2 linked regions of the Daphnia pulex genome follow. The protein of the gene in region 1 interacts with the protein of each later gene in a biochemical or structural test. Links are inferred from orthologs where the notes say so. Each region holds a gene or a part of one and is shown on either strand. Other genes may lie near its edges. The genes, in order: homeobox protein extradenticle-like and homeotic protein Sex combs reduced-like.

The links.
Region 2: the proteins of homeobox protein extradenticle-like (region 1) and homeotic protein Sex combs reduced-like are reported together in a solved structure, tested with the Drosophila melanogaster proteins (2 studies listed by BioGRID, with this or other methods). The link is inferred for Daphnia pulex from reciprocal best matches to the Drosophila melanogaster genes exd and Scr.

Annotation. Positions count from the first base shown.
Region 1 is NC_060023.1:11,355,265-11,361,883, forward strand, and holds homeobox protein extradenticle-like, read left to right. Parts: upstream 1-2,161; 5' UTR 2,162-2,248; exon of another isoform or gene 2,249-2,338; intron 2,339-2,595; 5' UTR 2,596-2,671; coding exon 2,672-2,842; intron 2,843-2,904; coding exon 2,905-3,046; intron 3,047-3,111; coding exon 3,112-3,362; intron 3,363-3,452; coding exon 3,453-3,643; intron 3,644-3,718; coding exon 3,719-3,854; intron 3,855-3,922; coding exon 3,923-4,022; intron 4,023-4,101; coding exon 4,102-4,253; intron 4,254-4,320; coding exon 4,321-4,380; 3' UTR 4,381-5,135; downstream 5,136-6,619. Other genes in the region: surfeit locus protein 1-like, read left to right, coding at 852-893, 955-1,044, 1,116-1,240, 1,303-1,488, 1,540-1,713, 1,770-1,983; rhodanese domain-containing protein CG4456-like, read left to right, coding at 5,433-5,538, 5,628-5,750, 5,811-5,979, 6,066-6,123. UniProt on the Drosophila melanogaster protein: Transcription factor which acts with the selector homeodomain proteins altering the regulation of downstream target genes such as wingless (wg), teashirt (tsh) and decapentaplegic (dpp), thus affecting segmental identity.
Region 2 is NC_060024.1:12,425,728-12,431,750, reverse strand, and holds the end of homeotic protein Sex combs reduced-like, read right to left. Parts: intron 4,406-6,023; exon of another isoform or gene 4,291-4,405; intron 4,154-4,290; coding exon 3,957-4,153; intron 3,755-3,956; coding exon 3,658-3,754; intron 3,530-3,657; coding exon 3,513-3,529; 3' UTR 1,836-3,512; downstream 1-1,835. UniProt on the Drosophila melanogaster protein: Sequence-specific transcription factor which is part of a developmental regulatory system that provides cells with specific positional identities on the anterior-posterior axis.

The sequences.
Region 1 (6,619 bases):
ATTCACGTGAAAATCCCAGTGAAGAATGGACGGTAAAGTCACGAGTTTGCCAAGCTTTCAACGCGCTTCAACCACATTCAAAACCGAAGAAAAAACAAATGGCAATCTGAACTGGTTGTTCAGACATATAACAGCCGATCAAAGGATTCATCCCATCGAAAACGATCAGCAGAATCGGTGAGCGATGTGTCAGAGGAGAAAAGACCTCCGTGTCGAGGAAGGCGCACTAATCCTAAATGCGACTTCCAAGTAATAATCGAAGAAAATCCTATGACTATCGATGACAACTGACAATTCCCAATTTCTACTCAACAGTCGACCAGCGAGGAGAAATAGGTAATGTCGTTGACAAAACCTAGACGACGCCCTGGTCAACCACGGCACCACGAAAGGTGAAGAAAACTTCCGGGTAAAATCGGTAAAATACTTAAATTCTTTCGGGTTGCTATTTTTTTCACAAGCAAAGACGATGTGTTATTGTGAGTGTTGACAGTTGACTTGTTTGAATTCTAAATTCAGAGACCAAAGTGTGATGCTGCTTAAGCACGGACTCTGTATTTAAAATTGAACAAAACCTTATTGAAAAGGCTATTTTTAGATTTAATATAATGTAGCTTTTTTTAGACTTTTGTAGGTCATACGCTATTTTGATCTCTTTTTTTAAATGAAAAAAAAATCGCAAATATCCCTTCGGGTACCTTGCTAACGCAGGTAGCTGACAATTCACCATAGGTTTATCTGAAAATGCGCTAGGTGTCTCTGATCGTTCAAGTGTTATTCAAAAACTCTTCTGCACTTTTTTTGTGAAGACCTTTTCTTTTCCTAAAGAGATTAAATTGAAATTGATTACAATGCTCAGTTTAAGGCATTTTCAGAAAATTAGAAGAATTAAGGTAATTTGGTTTATAGCTTCAAAACTGTGTTTTTCAACATTCATTTTCTGCTACTATTCAGACATGTACACAAAATTACGTAAGACGATCAGCCTCAAGCTATGGGCAAAGAAATGCTGTAGATATCGGAATTCACGGTTATTCGTTATTGGTAAGATAATCGATTTTAAAAATAAAACGTACATATAGTTCTTTAACAAAAAATTGATCCAATAAATGTAGGCTATTCCAGCCATCACTTTCGGCCTTGGGACCTGGCAGATTTTCAGACGTCAGTGGAAACTTGGTGTTATTGATCATCTTGCCAGCAGAACGTCTGCACCACCAATTCCATTTCAGTCTACAGAGTGAGACTGATACAATTCTTTAACTCTACCCTTTTATGCATATTTACACCAATGCTCTACAGTATTGAAGGGCTATCTGACATGGAATACCGGAAGTTTGAACTCCATGGAAAATTTGAACATGACAAAGAGATTTACATTGGGCCAAGATCACTGGTTGGAAATGAAAAAAATGAAGGTGGTGGGATGTTGTCTTCAGGGCAGAGTGGCTATTTAGTCATCACTCCATTTAAACTATCAGATTCCAAGTAAGACATTCAAACAGTTAATTTTCTCAATTTTCTACAAGTTACTTTTAGTCTCACAGTTCTTGTAAACCGCGGATGGATTCCTCGTAAAAAAATGAATCCATTCACCAGACTAAATGGACAAAGAGAAGGCGAAACAAAACTGATTGGAGTGTACCGCTCTAATGAAAATCGCCCCCAGTTTGTACCCCAAAATCAGCCCAAAGACCGCATGTTTCATTTCAGGTAAAGACAATTATATTTTTCGCAAAGTTAGATAACTTCATATATATTGCGTACAGAGATGTGGAGGGAATGGCTCGGCTTCTAGACACTGCGCCAATTTTCTTTGACGCGGACGCTGATAGCACAGTACCGGATGGACCTGTAGGTGGACAAACAGTTGTTACTGTTAGAAATGAACACGTTTCGTACATTTTAACGTGGTATTCATTATCAATTATCACAGCATTTTTGTGGCATCGACGATTTATCAAGAAAATGCCTCTTATGTAACTTAAATGTATTTATCTTCATAGAGGTTAAAGTCAAATTAATACATTTTAACATCAAACATCATTATATTTTTACTCTTGTTGCGTTTTCATTTGTAAAAATAAAATTTTAATTAATAAAATTCAAAATAAAAAATAAATACAGTATCGCGAGTTTCTAGTACATCGATTATTGGCTTACCCGATATAATTATCGATACTTACCTTTGTGATCGCGTTCTCGCGTCTTTTTTGCTTTGTCCCGTCGATAATCTCGGCGATCTCTGGTAATTATTTTATGAGCCTTTGAGAAATGTGATTCAGTCTGTTTGAATACTAAACAACTCGTGAATTCCCGGTTTCAAATTGTGTGTCAAGTCAGTAAAGAAAGTTTTTATTCTAATTGAAAGAAATACGCTACGCAAGCAAACTTCTCTTCCATGGCGGACGCTTGTCGCCTTGGGCATTTTATAAGACGTTGGCATTTTTATATTAACCGAAGCCAATTTTTGTTATTTACGATTGCTTTCTTGCAATACTAGTGCTTTGTTGTGTCTAGTACATTTCATTTTATGTTTACATTTCATGAAATCACATGTATGGATGTTAGTAAACGGAAAGTCATTGTTTACAGGGTCTTTATTGCCAGGTCCTGTAGCCTGAAGGCAATACGTTTTGTGCAGTGACATTGGAAGATTTCATTGCTTTTGATGGATGATCCAAATCGACTTATGCATCCTGTTCCAGGTGGCCAGGTTGGACTAATGCATCAGCCACCGTATGGGTTACCTCCTGTCAATGTCGGAGTCAATGTTGGGGTTAACATGGCTTCACTTGATGGAGGGAACCAAGACTCTGAAAATATGACTGGACGAAAGCAGGTGTGTACAATTCCATTTCCAAAATCTTTTTTTCCTTTTAAGTAAAACTTCTTTTTTTTTAGGATATTGGAGAAATTCTGCAACAGATCATGAACATCACAGACCAGAGTCTTGATGAAGCCCAAGCACGCAAGCATACCCTGAACTGTCATCGCATGAAACCTGCTTTGTTTTCTGTCTTGTGTGAAATCAAAGAGAAAACTGGTAACCCTATTTCAATATGAATCCAAGTGATTGAATGGTAACATTAAATTGTGCTCTCACTTTAGTTTTGTCGCTACGCAACACGCAAGAAGAGGAGCCTCCAGATCCGCAACTCATGCGGTTGGATAACATGTTGATTGCTGAAGGAGTAGCTGGTCCTGAAAAAGGAGGTGGGGCCGGTGCTGCTGCCAATGCATCAGCTGCAGCGTCTCAAAGCGGCTCAATGTCGGACTCGGCTATTGAACACTCTGATTATAGGGCTAAGTTGGCACAAATTCGTCAAATTTACCATCAAGAGCTTGAGAAATATGAGCAGGTACACATTTTTAGCAATGCTTATTTTTTTATTGGACCTCTATGACAAGAAAATGGAGAATAACCATTTCATTTTTACATCCGCTTTCAGGCTTGCAGTGAATTCACCACCCATGTTATGAATTTGCTCCGAGAACAATCCCGTACTCGTCCGATTACACCCAAGGAGATTGAGCGGATGGTTCAGATCATTCATCGCAAGTTTAGCTCCATCCAAATGCAGCTGAAGCAAAGCACTTGCGAGGCCGTTATGATTTTACGATCTCGTTTCCTCGACGCCAGGTAAATTTTGCTATTTTTTTAAGGTTTGACCACGCCCATTAAAGGTGTTGTTCTATCGATGTCTTCATCATGTAGGAGGAAGCGGCGTAACTTCAGCAAACAAGCTTCTGAGATCTTGAATGAGTACTTCTACTCGCACCTAAGCAACCCCTACCCAAGTGAAGAAGCCAAAGAAGAGCTCGCTCGTAAATGTGGGATCACCGTTTCACAGGTTAATTTCTTTTTAAATCCTTTTAAGAGGAATAAGCGCATTAATGTTTTGTTATTTTTACAAAAAAGGTTTCGAATTGGTTCGGTAACAAACGAATTCGTTACAAGAAAAACATTGGAAAAGCCCAAGAGGAGGCCAACCTGTATGCTGCTAAAAAGGCCGCGGGTAGTTGTTTCCACTCTGAGGATTTTCAAATCCTCGTATTACCGGAGCGATTCTAATTTTCGTACTTTTTCTTTCTCGTTAGGTTCCTCGCCATACAGTATGGCTGGAACTCCCGGACCGATGATGTCGCCTCAACCTGGTGGTCCTGAACTCAGGGGTCCACAAGATTCCTTAGGCCCGTACGGTGCTATGGGACTCAACGGTGGTGACTTTCCTTCCTCCATGGGCGGCCAAGTAAACTACTTTTAATGACTTAACTAGTGGTATCTCAGCATATTAATTAATGTAAACGTGTTTGTAGGGCTATGGCGATTCATCGATGGGTTATGATCCAAGTATGCATCAAGTGAATTCACCCTGAGGGGTGGACGAGTGCCCCTTCTCCTCCTCCACCCTATTTCTCGGCAAATCAACTCTTAATTTACTAACTTCATCAGATCTTGATCATACTGTGCGTTACAAGCTATCTTCAGCTGTTCGATTAACTCGTTCTAACCCATCTCGTACTCCTTCTTTTGTCCCTTCCTCTCAGTGCAGCTTTGTTGTTTCGTCTTGATAGAAAATGTTTCTGTGGATCACCTCGATCGGTGCTTGTTTTTTCTCATTTGTTTCAGAAACCTCTGTAGTTTTAATCGCTTTTGCGTATAGTTGAAACCGTCGATGTAGTCGTTATCGTTTTTATTTGACAACTAGAAGTGAACCGAACATCTCCGATTACAATCACGTACGCTCTCCCGTCACCGAAAAAACGATCATCAGTATTCTCGAAAATCCACATCCCACGGACCCGAGTCCTATTTCTAAAAAAACAAAAAAAACACAAGAATTCCCATCAAGTTTGCGTTTTAACTGAAAAAAAATACTTTTCTTTTGATATGGTGGTGGAACCGAATGCAATTTTTGGTATTAGAATATTTTGCAGTTCCTCCTCTGTCCTATAAAAAAAATGACTGGCGCTTTGAAGTGAAGCTCAAAATATTTCTTTCTCGTTGGTACGTTTTTATATTATTTTCCACTAATCCGTGTCTCCTTTTTAAACACTATATTCATCTGTTCACCGCGCAAATCCTTGCCATGAAATCATGTACAACCAATACATCCATTTCTAGGTGTCAACGTTCTTATTTTTTTCTCATTATTTTTTGAATGTTTTCAAATTTCAACCATCCCGAGGGTTGATGATGCAGTTCGTGTATCAGCGGCTCAGCGCCTTTCAGTGGTAGCAGATTTACATGTTGCATTTCGTGGAAGAGTGGTAGCAGACGGCAAATCTCTGACGTATTGTAGTCTGCTAACTTCTTTATTTTCTTTTCACTTATTTTGCTGCGCAAATAACTTGATTACGAACCGTTTTTGATTATCTACTACTTACCTTCTGTTTTAAAAGTTCTTGCTTCTCATAAACGGCATAAAATGTCATCAGCACGCCTTTTTTCTCGGGCTTTAGTGAACATAATTTCAATGCCTTCAAATATCTGTCTTCATAGTCGTTATTGTTCAGAAGCTGCTGTTAAACTAGGTATGATTCAACTTCATGTAAATATGTAATGTTAAGAAATGTTTGTGTTCTGTCTGGAATCTTGGAATGAATTCTTTGTCATTTTCCAGGCTCTATTGATTTTGAATCAGTGAAAGCTGGACTAGATAAGAAGAGCTTGACATACATAGATGTTCGTAATAGAAGTGAATTGCAAAAGGATGGCACGATTGTAGGAAGCTTCAACATTCCTTGTAAGAATTTAGTAGAAAGATTAATTTTAATAAGTGACTTCAATTTTGAGAAATTAACAGTGCCAGAGGTAACCAATGCATTTGCCATGAGCCCTGAAGATTTCAAACAAAAGTATGGCTTTCCCATGCCAGAGAAAAATGCAGATAACATTATTGTGGGCTGCCTGTTTGCAATCAGATCAAAAGAAGCTGGATTGTTTCTTCAGAAAATTGGCTATAACACCATAAGGTGATCATTGTAATCTTCCCTCATTAAACTCCAGCAATCTGCCTACCTTTATTACCTATACTTTTTTATATAAATTAATTTTTTAGGATTTATAATGGAGGCTTCAATGAATGGAAAGCTAAAGATGGACCCATCACTAAATAATTTTTTTCCTTGTAAGTGGACTGATATGAAAGTGAAGACACATGCATCGTATTGGTATTAGAAAATCGTAGACGAAAATTAAATTCTGTGTTTAAATTCTGTAATGCGCTCTTTAATTCATTCAGAGAACAGAAAGATTGCGATTGTGTGATCGCTGATCGGTTAATTTTTTTGCAGAATTTTTGAATTTCTATCAATTTTTTGTGACATTGCCAGACCACAGATGAAGACCACGAATAAAGAGAGATAAGATGATAAAAAATAAGGATAAGATTAATAAGATTCAAGACCAGATAAAAGCAGAGTAATAATAGAATTAATATTTAATTTATTCAACACAAAGCCCACTGACCGCACTGACCACTGTCGACTGGTGAGAACAACTTTGTTTTTTAGTTACCTAGGAGATACCTACCTGCTAGCAGCCTGCTACGCACCTGACGACCTGAGGCTGAGACCTGACATAGTAATCAGTTCCATTCCAGTCCCGTCGTCC
Region 2 (6,023 bases), on another chromosome or scaffold:
TTATCTGTCGGTTCTTTCTTTAGAAGAAAGATTGAATGAAGTGAAAACGATGAAGCAAGATAGAGCACGCTGACTGCTACAGCCATCTGCCGATGCGACTACCAACTTGTTTTGCTTTTGCCTGGGCACACACTGGAACGCATCCTGGAAAAAGTTGGGAAATTAAAGAGGCGCTTGCTGACTGAAAATAGATTGTCTTCGGACGGATAGGGAGGGGGGAGGAGAGAAATTGGTCGCGCTGGAAACGATTCATTATACGATTTTATAAGTACGACTAAGTGCCATGGATGAGAATTTCCTGCTTTTGTTCTTTCTTTCTTTCTTTCTCTCGTTTCTTGTTTTCTTATTCATGGCGTCGTGGCGACGCGCTCGTCTCCCTTTCGGCTTGTCTCATCCTTAATTATTCAACCTCTTGTCTCTTTGCGATCCTCTTCCTGATCGGACGATAGGATGTCACATCAATTACTTTCCTGGTCATCGCGTTTTATTATATCTAGAGCGGGAGGATTTCACCCCCTCCATCTCTAAATACGGTTCCCGTTTATTTTGTGGTTATCCGATTTTACCCGCTAAATGATCTCTTTCTCTTTTGTCTCGAGGGCCACAAATAATATCCAATATGAAAAGTAAGCGCCGTCGCTGCAATCTAACAGGGCAATGTATAGAGAGAGAGCGATGGTCGGGTTGCGTGGTGAATGTTTCTCTCTTGTGCGGTTGTTGAGGATGTTATTGTGTACTGTCCAACAACAGGGGTAGGAGCACCGCAAATAAGCCGGCACTCATCACCACCCTGGCAGGGCTTGTTCTTGTTCGGTTTTTCTCCTTTTTCCTGCCCAGCACTTCCTTAAATATACGAGGATATATATCTCGACGTATTTATACACTGACTGCTTACGTGCGCGCGTGTTTTACGCCCCTTTCAAAACATCAAAATGTTGGTTGGATTTTCTTTTTACGATTTTTTTGTTTGTGAAAATAAACCGACCAACAAACATTGGAAGAGCAACGTGATCACTTGGTCATCGCGTTTCAGGATCGCTCCTGTTTTTATTTTATTTTTTGAAATTTTTTGGTCTTCCCCTCCGTTTCTCTGGTCACAACAGGACAAAGTCAAATGAAGAGAAAGCGGAAGACAAGTGGTGTCATCGGCCTGGTGATTGTGTTTTCTTCTTTCTCGGCCGAGAGAGAGTGTGGCATATAGGCGGCCAACACGGGTAGCTGCAGCATCTGTCGAGTTGTCTTTCGTCGAGACTTTTGTCGCCGCTCGCATTGAAACTTCACGGGTTGTATCTGTTGGCTCGTTGTGGTGCAGCCAAGGCCCGAGCGCGCACATGAGAAAGTGGACCAAGTAAAAACAGACTTGCAGGAAAACAAGCCGAGACTCTGGCTTCTGCTGTTTGGTTTAAAAGCGACTAGAGTCTTACCACTAAATACACAGACGGGCACACGACAAAACAGGGCCGCAGCGACGTTACGATATGGAGAGAGAGAGATCTGGCTGCTCGCTCGCGCTCTCTCATCTCACACTGACCGCATCCGCACGGGACTCTTTTTTCTTTTTTTTGTTTTGTTTTGTTTTTTTCCCTATTTTTTCTTAGTACGACGGGACATTCTATTTGTCTCTGAATACCTGTAGAACTTCTGGCATTCCATTCATTACTCTTTTGCTCAAATCAACCCCCAGCAATCGCGTCCGTGCTGACGGAGCCTTCACGGAAATAGTCGACGGCTGGATGAGGGTCGATTTACAACCAACCCGTTGCCCTTCCGCTTTCGATCCGTTTCAATTTCGGTTTGGTTGGTTTTTCCGAGAAGCAAAGGAAAGAACGAGAATGTCTTGCACGATACTCGGAATTGTTATTATTATTATAATTAATTATTATGGGGCAATAAAACAACGCTCAAAATGAATACATACACACACACATAATATTGAATAATATTTTTTTTTTCGGGGGATGGAAAAAAGAGTAAAACAAAAAAGGACACACCCAAAATAGCGGGGAAGGAGTCAAGGAGTGAAAAACCAAAATAATAGAAAGAATTTTGCATTTATATAGGATGATTTTGCTTGCGACTTTTAGGGTCGTCGAAAATCATGGACTGAAAAACCGGCAAAAAAAAACAAACACATTTCAAACAACTATTTAATAGTAATAATGGTAATACGGCGTACAACGAAAGTCAACACACACGATTGGCAATCAAACGAAGGGCAACTCAAAGCAGAACACGATGATGACATTGAGAGGGGGGGAAAACAAAGAGACGACACTTTCGAATTTGCAAACTGGAGAGAAACGCAAAGTGGACAAAAAGAGAAACAAGTCGGCACATCGTCAAGAAGTTCAGTTCAACACAGCCAGTGTGTACGTGTGTGTGTGTGTTTGTGTTTGTGTTTGTGAGTGTACGTGGGTGTATGTACTCTATGTATAATCGAAGACGAGATGAAAGCTGGCCGTCCCTATCTGTTTGTGTGTGTCTGTCGCAAGTGTGTGCAATACAAGAACAATAAGTAGCGAGAGAGAGAGAGAAAGAGAAAAAGGAGACAGTCATAAAGATGAGTCGAAAACAGACGCGCAAGGGTGAGGGAGAACGTGAGCCGTCATGTTTTTGCGCAGCTGTAATACATTTTTCTCGTTTTTGCTTTGTTTTCCCATTTTATTTTCCCGTGGATTATTAACGATCTTAGGTACGACCGTTAAGTGATCCAATTATGAATCGGAAAGCGTCACATTATTTTTATTTTTTTTTACAAAATCCAGCTTCAGCGGTCCACCGAAATTTCTCTTTTTTTTTTGGGTCGAATGAATATTGATGGCTCTCTATACACACTCATCCACATGGCATAATAATAATAAATTATGGAAAAAAGGGGAGGAGGTGGCAGAAAATTGTTTGCAATGGGCACACGCAGCGCATGAAACACTTGCACATATACCGGTATTATTTTTACACAGGCAGATGAAGAGAGGAGGAGGAGGAGTATAGAGTACGACGACGATGAGGAACAACGGGAAAGAGGTTTTTAGAATATGTATAATATCGTACCGCACACACAAAGTCACACTGGAACATCGGGTGGGGCCTTTTTTTCATTTTTCATTTCTCACTTGTTTGCGGCCGCCAGTTTTTGTTCTCGATCGAAGATTTCATTGAATTCTTATGGATGAAGGAAACAATCCTTGCGGGAGAGTGTTCTTCTTCGTCTTGTCGATTGTGTTGTTTGTCTTGTTGTTTGTTGTTGTTTAGAATTTTGTACAATCAAAGTCACATGCAAAAAATGTTTTTATAGCAACACAAAGATTTTTTTTAGAGTACTTAGAGAGTGTTTAGCGCCTCGACACAATGTCGACCATTTTCTATCCATCTTTCTTCTCCTAATGATCTGTCTGTGCTGGGCTTTCCATCCGTTATTGGGTGGAGGCTGGTGACGATCCGTATTGGTGGTAATTGTAGTCGCCGGGTCCTACAGGTGTACTAGTAGGGTAGAACCCAACGTCCTGCGCTAGCTATATCTTGTGATCACCTGTACAACGAACAAAATGTTAGAAAAATTGTAGATCGTTTTTTGTTAGAACTTAGTTTCGTCTTTTTTTTTCAAAATGGTTATAACTGTGGCACACGACCCCGATTTTGGGGTCTTGTCTTATTTACCAGTCAAGTCGGCCATCGTTAAATGATGATGGTGATGGTGAGCGTGGTACATCATGGGGTGCTGGTGCATCATATTCATAGTGGCAATCTTGTGCTCCTGTATCGTGCATCATCAAAATGAATAATTGCTCGTTAAAAATCGATAGCCAGAAAAGAAGGGACGAATTGAGAAAGCGAAAGTTTGGTTTCAAACAAACAAGAAAGACAAAAAAACAAAAAACAAAAAGTAAATATATCGCCTTATACTTTCAAACGAGATTATTCGCTTTTATATTTAAAGAGTGTGTAACGGCGCCAACCTTTTTCCATTTCATGCGCCGGTTTTGGAACCAAATTTTAATTTGCCGCTCAGACAGGCAGAGGCTGTGAGCGATCTCGATCCGTCTCCTTCGGGTCAGGTAGCGATTAAAGTGGAATTCTTTCTCCAGTTCCAGTGTCTGGTAGCGCGTGTACGACGTCCTCTGGCGCTTAGTTTCTCCATTAGCGTTGACTGCGTCTATTTGGACAAAAACAAAAAAATAAATAATTCGCCAATTAATTCACTCAATTTTTTTTCCCTTGTTCGCTCAATTGTTTAAAATTTGAAAAATGCCTAAAATGTCAATTTTTTTTTTTTTTTTGTTTCTTTTGCAGAACTTCCGGAAAGTCTGTCGGTTTTTTTCCAGCCAACGGTCAATACGTCGTAATCAGATGACGACTTGAACCGGCAGAAGAGAAAGAACAGGAAATGCGCAGTCACATCGCACAGGTGCGTGCGCTTCCGTTTTATGGTTGTTTTTTTTTTTCAATAATAATAATAGTAAATGCCCCACGTTGTGCAACATGCACCGGCCACAGCCGGACGCGCATGAACGTTCTGTTAGTGGGACTCTTTAAAACCAAAAAAGGGGGGTGAGGTGGTGGTTTGCATCTTTTTGTTCTATTATAAGTCTCGGAATGGACACGCCGGCGAAAGCGTTTTGGGTGTCTCATTGCGGCGCATGTGTGTGTACCAATCGTCCGCTATCGGTACTTCGCCAAAAAAAGATGCCGGGTTATACGTGGTTGAGTGGTGCGCTGCACCACCAAACTGAGCTGGAACTATAGTAGAAACTCTCGGTTTCTTCATCTTCTTCTTCTTTTTCTTCTTTGGTCGTGACAATCTCCTTACTTTTTCTTCCCTCTTGTTTTACGTGGGGTTGGGGGAGGGGGCTGGGTTGTCAACCTTTTCAAAGAAGGGAAATGAAATTCATAAGACCCTCTGCGCACACGTTTACGACGAGAGAAAAAAAAGTACCAGCTTCCGGAAACTTTGGTTTCCATTTCAATGTCTTAAAAGTCACCCCCTCGAACCCCCCAGTCTTTTTTTTTTCCAGACTCTTTCTCAAATATGAGAAATTGTAAACGGTTTCTATCCTAGTTCTATTCTTTCACCCTCCTGAGCAGCTCCTTTTCATTACAATAGTTCAAATTCACCACTGCTGCTGCTGCTTATTTGCCTCTGTGGCTAGCTTTTATCACTTTAACAGTACACACGGCGGCTTTGTGTGTGTTACTGTGTAAAGTCCGGCAGCAATTTGCAAATTTACTCAAAAAGGGGGGGGGGGGGCTCTCTTTCTTTTAAGTTTTCAAAATGGAAATTTTCGTCGGAGCTAAACAAATTGGAAATGAAACAGTGGACGTTGAACTTTTCCCATTTTTGGGCTTTTTTCGATAACTGGGAAGAAAAGGGGAAGAAACTATAAAAAGGTGCATTTACTGGGTTATCAATTAGATTATGTGCTTATGGTCCCGTAGGTACACGAATAGAATTGTCAATGGAACTTGTACACGGAAATCTATCGAGGAACCGATAAACGCCCACGTTCCAACGTCGGCGACCGCTGATGTGAATGCACAATTTGCTGTTAATCTACTGGAGCACTGATGGAGTCGCAAGGAGGCGGAGATGGAATGAGAAGTACTCTCAACACAGTCTTTCTGGCTCTATTGTGTAATATACGGGGAAAGAGGGGAGGATTTTAGGCCTCGCTCGAGTCGTACGAGTGTGCGCTCCGTGCCATGCGGCGCTCGACTTTTCTTGCCGGTGGAGAGATAGCGTAGAGACTGGTTGAATTCCAAGCACGCGTTTTTCTATACACTGGCGGCGTCTTTTACACAAAACAACTACCTTTTCCTCTTTGAATCCGAGTCAAGCGGGAATAGTTATACAACACAGATGACGAGTGATTGATGTTGGAAGAGACTTTAATGACCAGTTGATTGGCACATCATCATCATCATTATGCGGCGGAATGACGGCAAGCGCGGTCTTATTACGTCACGAGTCTCAAATAGGGTTTGGCTTGTAATAAAATACCTGGATCTGATTTTTTTTTTTAACCTTT